3 linked regions of the Oryctolagus cuniculus genome follow. The protein of the gene in region 1 purifies or fractionates together with the protein of each later gene. This does not show direct contact. Links are inferred from orthologs where the notes say so. Each region holds a gene or a part of one and is shown in the gene's direction. Other genes may lie near its edges.

Region 1 (3,649 bases):
TGAGGCAGGTGGCAGGTGTGACAGAGAGGCGCCTTCAGAAGGGGGTGGGGGAGGTGCCGAGAAGACTCCCCTGGACAGTCAGTGCCATTGACTGTGCTTCCGGTGCCTCTGAGAGTTGTCCCGGCACACCTGAGCTCGCCTCGCCACTGCCAGTGACTGGGAACGCGAGGATCCCTGTGTGCAGGGTGTTCAGTGCCCACTCCTCCTGCACTGCAGGCGGCGGGAGGGCGGGGGTGGCCTTGGCCTTGAGCTCTGCGGGCAAGCAGGTGCTGGACCTTGTGCTTACAGAGGAGAAGCTGCTGACCGACAGCATGCTGGTGGAGGCGCGGGAGGCCTCGGAGGAGGACCTGCTGGTGGTGCACACGAGGCGCTATCTCAACGAGCTGAAGGTACGAGAGGGAGGGAGGGCCTGGCCTCACAGGGCCCCGAGAGAGAGGGAGAGGGAGATCCTAAAGAGATGAGCTCCAGGGAAGGGTGAGGTGCCCCACGGGCGATGAGCTCCCTGTCGGTAGCGGGGATGAAAGCAGGGATGTCACAGGGGCTTTGGGCTTCTGTGCGAGTGGGTTTTGATCTGTGCTCTGGACAGGCCTCGGAGACCCCTGCTGAGACCCCTTGTCCCCAATCCCACCAGAACTCTGCTGCTTTGGCCCAGGGCCCGACAAGGAGGCAGAGCAAGTTGGGGTGGGGTGCAGGGAAACACAGAAGTCTTGCCCCTTCTCGGGGAGTGCGGGCAGCCGTGGCTCCGCTCCGCATGGGCCCAGTGTGGCCAAGCCCTGGGTTTTCACAGAGAAGGCAGAGACCCAGGCTACTAAGCGGCATTTCTTAATGTGGCAGCTCCTTGTAAGATTTTCAAGTCCCTTCTGCAGACAGAACGAGGCCCACTGGCTGCCTGCGCGCTCTTTCCAGAGGTGGCTGCAGACTTCGGGGGGGAGGGGGGGCACTTTGTCCTGTTTGTGGGAGGGGGGCTGGGCTGGGGGTGTGTCGGAATCTGCCAGGCCACCCCAGTGGAAGTGGGTCCGCTTCCTCACTGGGCCCCCCATAGGCTCACTCCCAACCCCAAGGGAAGCCAGGGGTCACCAGGCCCCTGAGCTCCGTGCACAGAGAAGCCAAGGCTCAAGGTCACCGGGGAAGTGGGTCAGGCCTGGGGGAGTCTTCAGGTTCCGGGTCATGGCGGCTACCCTCCTCCTCCCCGCACCCCCGCCCCGGCCTCAGCTGTGAGAATTCCACACGGAGCTTCGAGGAGCTGAAAGATTACCAGGCAGAGGCTGGAACTGGCTCCCAGGAGGGAAAGGTGTGTGAGGCCTTGGCAGGAAGCCCAGTGCTGGGCTGTGCTGGTTTGCTGGGGCCCAGGCATGCGTGGTCACAGTCCACAGCCAGGATGAGCGGCCGGCCAGAGTCCGGCGGTGGGGGGAAGATGGGCAGGGAGGAAACAGAAGGAAGTGGAGCCCAGAGAAGACTGGGGGTGGGGGCGGGGCTCCAGGGCCCCACCCACCTGAGGTGCTTTCTGGAGAAGTGTTCAGGGCAGGTGCGTGCCTGGCCTTAACAGCCTACTGTGTGAATGTGATCCATAGCAATAGTTTTTTAAAAAGTACTAACAGGCAAAGCTCCAGGCAGAAAACGGAGGTCCAGGGTAGGAGGAGAATGTCGATAAGTCAGCTGGAAGGGTTCATCCGGATGGCGACCCAGATGCCCATTTGGCTTGGAGTTCTCTGGAAGCCAGAGCGAAAGGAGAAACTTGTGCGTTGCCTTTTCAGCCACCAAGATGAAGGAGTCTGTGAACGTGTGTGAGCGCACAGGGAGACTCCGATGGGGGCTCCCTGCTCCCACAGGCCTGCATTTGAGTTGTGGAAGACGGACAGTGCATTCCAGGGAGCGCCCAGGGCGGCCAGGCACAGGGGAATCAGCAAGTAGCCGTGCAGAGGTGGCGCGTTCGGAAAGCAGCGGTGGGTGACGCTGTGAGGGCGCCTGCTCCAGGCGCTCACCCCTGGCAGGGGCTGGCAGGCCGTGGGAACAGTGCGTTTGTCCAGGGCAGAGGCCGGTGACGTGGTGCTGTTCCTGTCACGCCCACGCACACAGCTGGCATCTGGGCTGCAGCTCTCGGCCCCTCCCTCACACCGACGATGAGGGTGGGTTTCCTGGGGCTGCTGCATGACCTGCACCCCTGCCCCACCCCCACCCCCACCCCTGTCCTGGGGTTCATGCCTGGCCCTGCACGGGTGTGGCCTCCACACCTGACTAGCAGGCCATGGAAGAAGCCCTAGCTGCATGTTTGCAGGGTGTTGCCAGGGCAGGGAAAGAGAGTTGAACACCTGCTGTGTGGGGGCCGAGAGGGAGCGCTCAGCACCGGGCTCTTGTCTCAGGGCAGAGACAGCCGGCCCCGGGGCGCACCTGATGTCCTGCCCCTCTGCCCAGCAGCCCGGGCCCTGTGCCCAGTCCCACCCACGTGCTATGAGGACAGGGTGGGACAGCAGACCAAACCCCTCTCCTGCTGTCCACACTGGCATAATCAGTGCATAGTGGCCCAGGGGGCTCGAAGGGGCTGAGGACCACGAGCAGAGGAAGGGGCAGGGAAAGGGGGTGACAGAGCTGGCGGGGGTGGGGCACATGGCAGTCTGAAATCCGAGTCCGGAAGGGGCGCCCTGGCGGGTGATCAGAGGCGATGTAGAAGGGGTGAGGGAGCGGGCGGCGTGGCTCTGGGGAATGATACTCCAAGCAGCAGGAGCAGCAAGTGCAAAGGCCCTGAGGCAGACACATTTCCCAGGTGTTCCAGTGATAGAGGGAGGGAGGCTTCCCCTCTGCACCTGGGTGGTAGAAACCCCACCCCGAAGAGTCTCTGGGGGGAATCAGATCCTGGGGTCCCTGACTCTCCTTCTCCAAGAGCCCCCTCTCTCCTTTTCTTCTGTTCTATTGTGTTACAGTTTACATAACATAAAACTAGCCGTTGGCTGCTTGAAAGTGTACAGTTCAGTGGTGTTCAGTCTGTTCACGACTGGTGCAGCTGCTGCCTCTGGGCAGTGCCGGGACACTCCCTGCACCCTGGAAGGAAGCCCTGTTCCCAGCAAGGTCACCCCCCAGCCTCCCCTGCCCCGCCCCAGGCATCACACAGCTCCCCGTCCCTAGGGATGCGCCTCTTCCGGGCGCTTCCTGTAAATGCAGTCGAATCTTCAAGATCCCCGGGGTCCAGCGGGTGTCAGCGCCTCAGTCCTGCTCACGGCTGCACGGGGTCCCCCAGATGGAGTCTCCTGCATTGTTTGCACCTGAATTGGTTTCTGGGTGTCTGTGCTGTTCCTGCCGGTGTGTCCATGTGAGCGTGCATTTGTCTGCTCCCCTGTTTGCGCTTCTTGGTGACGTAGTTGGCCCTGTGCATGGGTGGGCCCTGCGGCATTTCAGCCAACCGTGGGCTGAAAGTATGTAAGAAATGATGGGGCTGTCCTGAGCGTGCATAGGCTTCCCTCCCCCCGCCCCGTCACTCTCCCCTGGACAGTACAATAGAGCTACTGTCTCCCTAGCACTGGCCGTGCGTTAGGAAGCGCAGGCCATCTAGAGAGGCCTTAAAGTACGCAGGAGGATGTGCCTGGGAACTGCAGATCTTACGTTTTATAGAGAGGACGTGAGCACCCCAGAGCGCTTGGACTAGGGCCGAACACAC
Region 2 (3,649 bases), on another chromosome or scaffold:
AGCCAGGAGCCAGGAGCTTCTTCCAGGTCTCCCAGTTGGGTGCTGGGGCCCAAATACCTGGGCCATTCTCCACTTCTTTCCCAGGAGCTTTAGCAGGGCGCTAGATTGGAAGTGGAACAGCCGGGACTTAAACTGGTACCCACAGGAGATGCCACTGCTGCAGGCTGTTTCTTAATCTGCTGCACCACAGTGCTGGCCCCAACATGTACATTTTGATCATAAAACATAATAACTTTTATTGGAAATAAATTTCTTAATGATATGGATGGGTTGTTTTCCCCTCATGCATCTATAGATAAATAAACTTAACTGAAATTCATTAGGGCTCAGCACACGTTTGTTTTCAATTTTACAAATAGATGCAAGCTTGAGAAATGCTAACGTCATAAAGGGGAAGATGAGAATGGAAGGATTTTGCAGTAACAAAACCACTGATGTGAATTTCTGTGTTGTGCCGAAATAAAAAACATCTGTGAGATAGGAAAAGACCAGAAAATATGCTGATAACCTTGCCTGGAGGTTTTTGTGCCTTCGGACTGTACAGGGGGTAGGGGGTTGGGAAGGAAAAAAGAAATGGCTTTTTTGACTAAATGGGAGGACAGAAGTTGTACAGATACTAGGGGACAGGAGACCAGACCACTGTGCTTGCTTCTCTCAGTTTAGGAAAAGCTATATTTCCAAACATCTGGATGTTTATGCCTTAGAGCCATCTATATCTTTATACTCCGTGGAAAGTCTTTAGGATACAAATACCTCAGTGTGAAGGAAACTTTTTTTTTTTAAAAGACTTATTTATTTATTTGGAATGCAGAATAACAGAGAGGAAGAGACAGAGACGTCTTTGATCTGCTGGTTCACTCCCCAGATGGCCCTGATGGGTGGATCTGGGCCCAGCTGGAGCCAGCATCCAGGAACTCAACATGCTAGTCTCCCACCTAGGTGTTAGGAGCCCGAGTACTTGGGCCGTGTTCTGATGCCTTCCTCGGGCACATTGGCAGGGAGCTGGATCGGAAGTGGAGCAGCCAGGACTAGAACAGGGTGTCATAAGGTGCTGCTTAACCCACTGCACCATGTCTGTGACCGCAAGAAAGCCTTTTAAAAATAGGATCTCTGATTATAAAACAGGAGCCAATCCAAAATGCACTGTTTGTGTTAGGGAGTAGACGAAGATCTGCAACTTTGCATATAGTACCTTACTTATAAGCTGGCATTTGATAAAAAGTACATGATAAGTGGAAAAAGAAATCAGATAATTGTCCTTCTTTCTGTCGCAGTCTGATTGGGATTTTAGTGCCCTTGACTTCTCGTCTTGACTTTCTGGGACATTGTGCTCTGTCGGACTTGCTTGCATTTCTCTGCTTTTCTCTGTGGTGTACTTTGCAAGCTCCTTTTTCTTAACCCATTTTTTAAAAAAGATATTTATTTATTTATTTGAAAGGCAGAGTTACAGAGAGGCAGACAGAGAGATCGATCTTCCATCCACTGGGTCACTCCCCAGATGGCCGCAACGGCTGGGGCTGGGCCGATCCGAAGCCAGGAGCCAGGAGCTTTCTCCAGGTCTCCTGTGTGGGTGCAGGGGCCCAAGGACTTGGTCCATCTTCTACTGCTTTCCCAGGCCATGGCAGAGAGCTGGATCGGAAGTGGAGCAGCTGGGACTTGATGCTGGCACTGGAGGCCACGGCTCTACCCACTACGCCACAGCACCAGCACCGTTAATACATGTTTTCAATGTTGATGTTTCTTAGGGCTCTGTCTGAGGTCTCCTGCCATTCTGTGTTGCAAGTCCCCAGAGGCTGTCCTGGCCTCTGTTGTGTCAGTTACTCTCTCTGGTTAGTTAATTTGAGAGAGAGAGCAGCAAGCGAGCACATGGGGCGAGAGCACTCCCCCATCCACCTGTTCACTTCCTAAATGCCTTCAGTGACTGAGGCTGGGCTGGGGCTGAAGCCAGAAACCAGGTCACCCACATTAGTAGAAGAAACCCAGTCACCTAAGCCAGCCCTGCTGTCGCCCACGGTCTGCATTAGCAAGAAGCTGGAGTCAGGAGTCCCAGCCTGGCATCCAGCCCAGGTGCTGCAGGGTGGGATGTGGGCCGCCCGAGCACAGGCCAGGACCTGCCCCTGCTCTGTGCCTGTCTGCAGCCATAGCCCAGATGGCTCTTCGGAGCCCTAGATGAAAATACCCAGTTTTGCTTTTTTCCAGTTCATTCTCTACATGGCAGCAGGGGAGCCTCACTAAAAGTTTGAATCTCATGTGGTGCCCTTGCCTGAAGTTCTCCCATTGCTCTCAAGGTGTATGGCTGATTCTTCAATGTCAAGTACAGGCTCTTTGGATCCTACTGTCTCTCAGTCTTCTTAGCCTTATTTCTGGCTCTTCTGCCTATGCTGCATTTCTTTTTCAAATACTCATATCTCAAACGTGTGCTTCTCCGTCCTGGTCACTTTACCTGGTGAACTGCTTTTCAGTTGTGTGGTCTGAGCTTAAAACAACACTTCCTCAGATCCCTGCCTTGAATCTCCAGCTAGGTTCTATCACGAGCTCAAATAGCACAGTGTGTTTCCTCGGTTGTACAGCTCACTACACTTTAATTACCTGTGCCTTTCACGTCACTTCTCCTGTAAGCATAATGTGAACCGGACTCAACCTTGTGGTGGCTCTGCTCTCTTTACCCCTTGTGCCTGACACAGAGCGTGTGCACATTCGATGTCTCCGAATTAGTTAATGCATTTGTGTTCTTGGTGCTGTGATCTCAGAGTGAACTCTGTTGTTCTCTGTAGAGCCTCAATGAAATCTTGGAGTCGGCTGATGCGCCTTTAGAAGTCACAGAAGGATTCATCCAGTCCATCTCTCTGTCGGTGCCATGGGGCTCCTTGCTGCAGGATAACTGTGCCCTGGAAGTGAAGGGCTTAGAGATGGTCTTCCGGCCGAGACCGCGCCTAGGTAGGTGTGTCCCGTGCCTGATTTACTTCATTCTTAATCCTGCGGCGATTGGGAAAGCAGCCCAATTAACATTAAATTCATTTTTGATCTGATGTGTTATCTTGCACTGTACTTGTGAGATTTTTGGTTGGTAAGATATTAGGACTTGGCTCTGTGTAGAATGTCTGTGATCATACACTTAGAGTTTTTTTCTCTATGTTTATTCGTAGGAAGGTTACTCTATAGATGACTTGGTGTGTGCAGGTAGCTGATACCTTGTGTTTTTAAAGATTCAGAGTATTGTGCCAGAAGCAAGGAGGAATGCTTCAGAACTAGGGGGGTAATGTTAAAGGGACAAAGCACTGGGCTTGAAAGGGCTCACGCTGGACAGGTCAGATGGTTTGAATCTAAAAAGGATGACAACAGTCATGAATCATCAACATTCCAGAAAAACCCTCATTCCATACTGATATGGATACATAGGCATCTACGGGGGCAGGGAGAAGGGAATTCTCTTTATAGTAGAATACCTACTTGTAGGGAAAAGACTGGCAGACAGTTATATGGAATTGAAAAAGTTAGGTTACTGGAAACCGGGCACCCTGATAGATAATATGGACATTTTTTTTTTTAAGATTTATTTATTTGAGAGGTGGAATTACAGAGAGAGATAAGGAGAGACAGAGAGAGAGAGAGAGAGAGAGAGATCTGTTATCTACTGGTTCACTCCCCA
Region 3 (3,649 bases), on another chromosome or scaffold:
ATGCCTAACCCTCACTTAATGTTTTCTGACAGATTAAAAAAAATAATGGTGTGTATTCTTTTTAAATGTTGGAAACAATCATTGTGACACCTTTAGAAAAAATGTTTTTTCTTACATAGAAGCATCTACAGAGATTCTATAGGTGTCATGCATTAAAATCTATCCTGCCATAAATAAAATGTCCTCTATCAATAATACTCAAGTCTCAAAGGATTATTTTCACATTTCTCATTTGTTACATACATGTTTTACTAAGGTTTTTGTTACTTCGAATAATATTTTTTCAAAATTAGACTGGTTTCTCATAACCCAGAAATTATTTTCAGTGTTTGAATTATTGGGTAAGAATTGAGAGATCTTTGATGAAGAAAACCAAACATTTCATTATTGGCTAGTTTTTTCCATGTGTGTAGCGATGATATTTTGAGTGGGGTAGTGGGGTGATAAGGATGCAGGTTTCAGAGTCTGATTACTGCAGCCTCACCAGAGTCCTTGTCAAGTTGTTTAATCTCCCAGTATCTTAGTTTCCTTATTTGTAAAATGAAGGCAATAATAATACCTTCTTCCCAGAATTATTGTGAAGAATAAGTAATAAGGAAAATGCTACTAAGCCTGCATATAGTAAACCCCTCAGAAGTATTAGCTGTGCAGATTAGAATGAAAAATATTGAATGTTTATATGTTATTTTTTTTCCCTAGCAAGCAGAATTGAAAACACAAGGGAAGAAATCCATGAAGGTGAAAATCAAGATATTTGGGAACAGCAACAAATGAGGAAAGCAATTAAAACCATACAGGTAATAAAAAGTATACCAGGTGAATTATGTTTCTGTAGCTGCTATAACAAATTAACACAAACTCTGGAACTGAAAGCAATTCTCTCCCACAATGTGGAGGCCCGAAATCTAAAATCAGTGTGTTGGCTGGGCTATGTTTCCTCTGAAGGCCCTGGAAAAGAATACTCCCTTGCTTTTTCCAACTTCTGATTGCTTTACATGGTCCTTGACTTGTAACTTCATAAGTCTTTTTCACTACTTTTGTCCTCACATGATAACCTTCTCTGTGTCTGCTCTGTGTATTTTTAATAAGGACGTTTATGATTGGATTTAGGGCCCGCCCAGTTAATCCAGGATGATTTCAATATCCTTCACTTAGTTATAACCACTAAGACCCTTTTTCCAAATAAGGCCATATTCACATATTCAGGGTTAAGATTTTGGTGTATCATTTGGAGATCACCATCCAGTCACATCTCACCACACTCCTTTGAATTTGCTGGAATACCTTCTAACACCAATTGGGAACCATAGGAGCCAGGAGCTACTTTTGGGTCTCCCACGCGGGTGCAGGGGTCCAGGGACTTGGACCATCTTCTACTGCTTTCCCAGGCTATAGCATAGAACCGGATTGGAAGTAGAGCAGCCAGGACTTGAACCGGTGCCCATATGGGATGCTCCCTGCAGGAGGCGGCTTCACCTGCTACACCACAGCGCCAGTCCAAAATCTCAGGCTTTTATCCTCAAGTATAGTTCTTGTTTGTTTTAAAGCTCACACTTGCTTAAACTTTAATTTTTTTTCTATTTTTTATTTTTTGACAGAGTTAGACAGTGAGAGAGAGAGAGAGAGAAAGGTCTTCCTTTTGCCGTTGGTTTACCCCCGAAGTGGCCGCTATGGCTGGCGCTTTGCGGCCAGCATGCTGCGCCGATCTGAAGCCAGGAGCCAGATGCTTCCTCCTGGTCTCCCATGCGGGTGCAGGGCCCAAGGACCTGGGCCATCCTCCACTGCACTCCTGGGACACAGCAGAGAGCTGGACTGGAAGAGGAGCAACCGGAACAGAATCCGGTGCCCAGACCGGGACTAGAACCTGGGGTGCGGGCGCTGTGGGCGGAGGAATAGCTTAGTGAGCTGTGGCGCCGGCCCACTTTCTTAAACTTTAATCACTCACTCCACACAGTATAAATTGTCTGTTTTTATAAAGTTAAAAATGATAGGGTCCCCAGAAATGGAAGGTGTTTATAATCTTCTGGAAAATGGACATAATATACACAATACAGCTGTCTTTTAAGAACATTGCAAGCAGGGCGATGATGAGCTGTGATTAGCCAGAGGACACTAATGTGAAATACACCATGTTACAAGATGAGAAATGCACCATGTTATCAGTGAGAAATGCATTATTCTGCGAGTACCAGAAATCCCAAATAACAGTGGCTTAAAGAAAAGTAAGAACTTTACCTAGAAACCTCCAGCATACTTAAATTTCCATTTACTTTTCATTGAATAGAATGGAGTTGGAGTTAAATGGCTTCTTCTTTTTCCCTTCGTTTTTTTTTAAAGATTTATTTGTTTGAAAGGCAAAAATAGAGGAGCCGGGAGTGGGGTGAGGGAGAGAGAAAGATCAAGAGAGATCTTCCATCCACTGACTCATTCCTCAAATGGTTATACCAGCTGCCGCTAGGCCAGGCTGAAGCCAAGAGCCAGGAGTTTCTTCCAGGTCTCCCTCATAGGAGCGAGGGCCCAGGTACTTGGGACATCTTCCGCTGCTTTCCCAGGTGCATCAGCAGGGAGCTGGATCAGAAGTGGAGCAGCCAAGACTCGAGCTGGTACCCAAGTAGGATGCCAGCACTGCAGGCAGAGGCTTAACCTTCTGGGTCACAGCTCCAGCCCCGATTGCTACTTCTGTAATAGAAGTAAGTGTGAATTTAATCAGACAGCTGTTTGTACCACAAAAAATAACACTCACCAAAGAATGTTGCTGCGTCAAAAACTGCACAACTTTCTTTTTTAAGAAACATTAGATTGTAAATAGATAACTTTAAAACCTTGAGGACTAGGCCAGCGCCGCGGCTCACTAGGCTAATCCTTCGCCTGCGGCGCCCGCACCCCGGGTTCTAGTCCCAGTCGGGGCGCTGGATTCTGTCCCGGTTGCTCCTCTTCCAGTCCAGCTCTCTGCTGTGGCCCAGGAATGCAGTGGAGGATGGCCCAGGTCCTGCACCTGCATGGGAGACCAGGAGAAGCACCTGGCTCCTGGCTTTAGATCAGCACGGTGTGCCTGCTGCAGCGCGCCAGCCACAGCGGCCATTGGGGAGTGAACCAATGGAAAAGGAAGACCTTTCTCTCTGTCTCTCTCACTGTCCACTCTGCCTGTCAAAAAAAAACAAACAAACAAACAAACAAAAAAAAAAACCTTGAGGACTAAACTTTTGAAAGACCAGGTTTAAATTTACCACTTACATATGAATTTAAAATTCCAAATTTTAAAAATGTTTTCATTTTAAAAAGATTTATTGTGACAGAGGCATGGGATTTATTACAGAGGCATGGGATTTTTGAACTGTAAGAGATCTTGGATTAACCTGTCTCCTTTGTGCTACTGATATTTGTAAGGTAAATTAAATGATTTCTAAGAAATAAATTTTCAAATTATTTTTAGAGAAGAGAAATAGACCTTTCCCACAGCGGGGCATCTCAAACTAAGAAGTTTGACACTTCTATTTCATTTCCACCGGTAAATTTAGAAATTATAAAGAAGCAGCTAAATACGAGGTGAGTAGTACTCATTTTGAAATTTCTATTTATCTTAGAATTTTAACAGTGAGAGCACTATATTATTTTAAATTAATAAATGTGTTTGCAAGAAAAAAGTGTC

The links. The genes of interacting proteins can lie anywhere in the genome.
Region 2: the proteins of HDAC11 (region 1) and ATG2B purify together in Homo sapiens (co-immunoprecipitation; 3 studies listed by BioGRID and IntAct, counting the BioPlex papers as one, with this or other methods). This does not show direct contact. The link is inferred for Oryctolagus cuniculus from reciprocal best matches to the Homo sapiens genes HDAC11 and ATG2B.
Region 3: the proteins of HDAC11 (region 1) and GCFC2 purify together in Homo sapiens (co-immunoprecipitation; 3 studies listed by BioGRID and IntAct, counting the BioPlex papers as one, with this or other methods). This does not show direct contact. The link is inferred for Oryctolagus cuniculus from reciprocal best matches to the Homo sapiens genes HDAC11 and GCFC2.

What each region holds. Positions count from the first base shown.
Region 1 is NC_091441.1:108,657,283-108,660,931, reverse strand, and holds part of HDAC11 (histone deacetylase 11), read left to right. Parts: intron 1-288; coding exon 289-389; intron 390-3,649. UniProt on the Homo sapiens protein: Responsible for the deacetylation of lysine residues on the N-terminal part of the core histones (H2A, H2B, H3 and H4).
Region 2 is NC_091451.1:40,743,771-40,747,419, reverse strand, and holds part of ATG2B (autophagy-related protein 2 homolog B), read left to right. Parts: intron 1-2,774; coding exon 2,775-2,937; intron 2,938-3,649. UniProt on the Homo sapiens protein: Lipid transfer protein required for both autophagosome formation and regulation of lipid droplet morphology and dispersion.
Region 3 is NC_091433.1:127,149,845-127,153,493, forward strand, and holds part of GCFC2 (intron Large complex component GCFC2), read left to right. Parts: intron 1-699; coding exon 700-797; intron 798-3,433; coding exon 3,434-3,546; intron 3,547-3,649.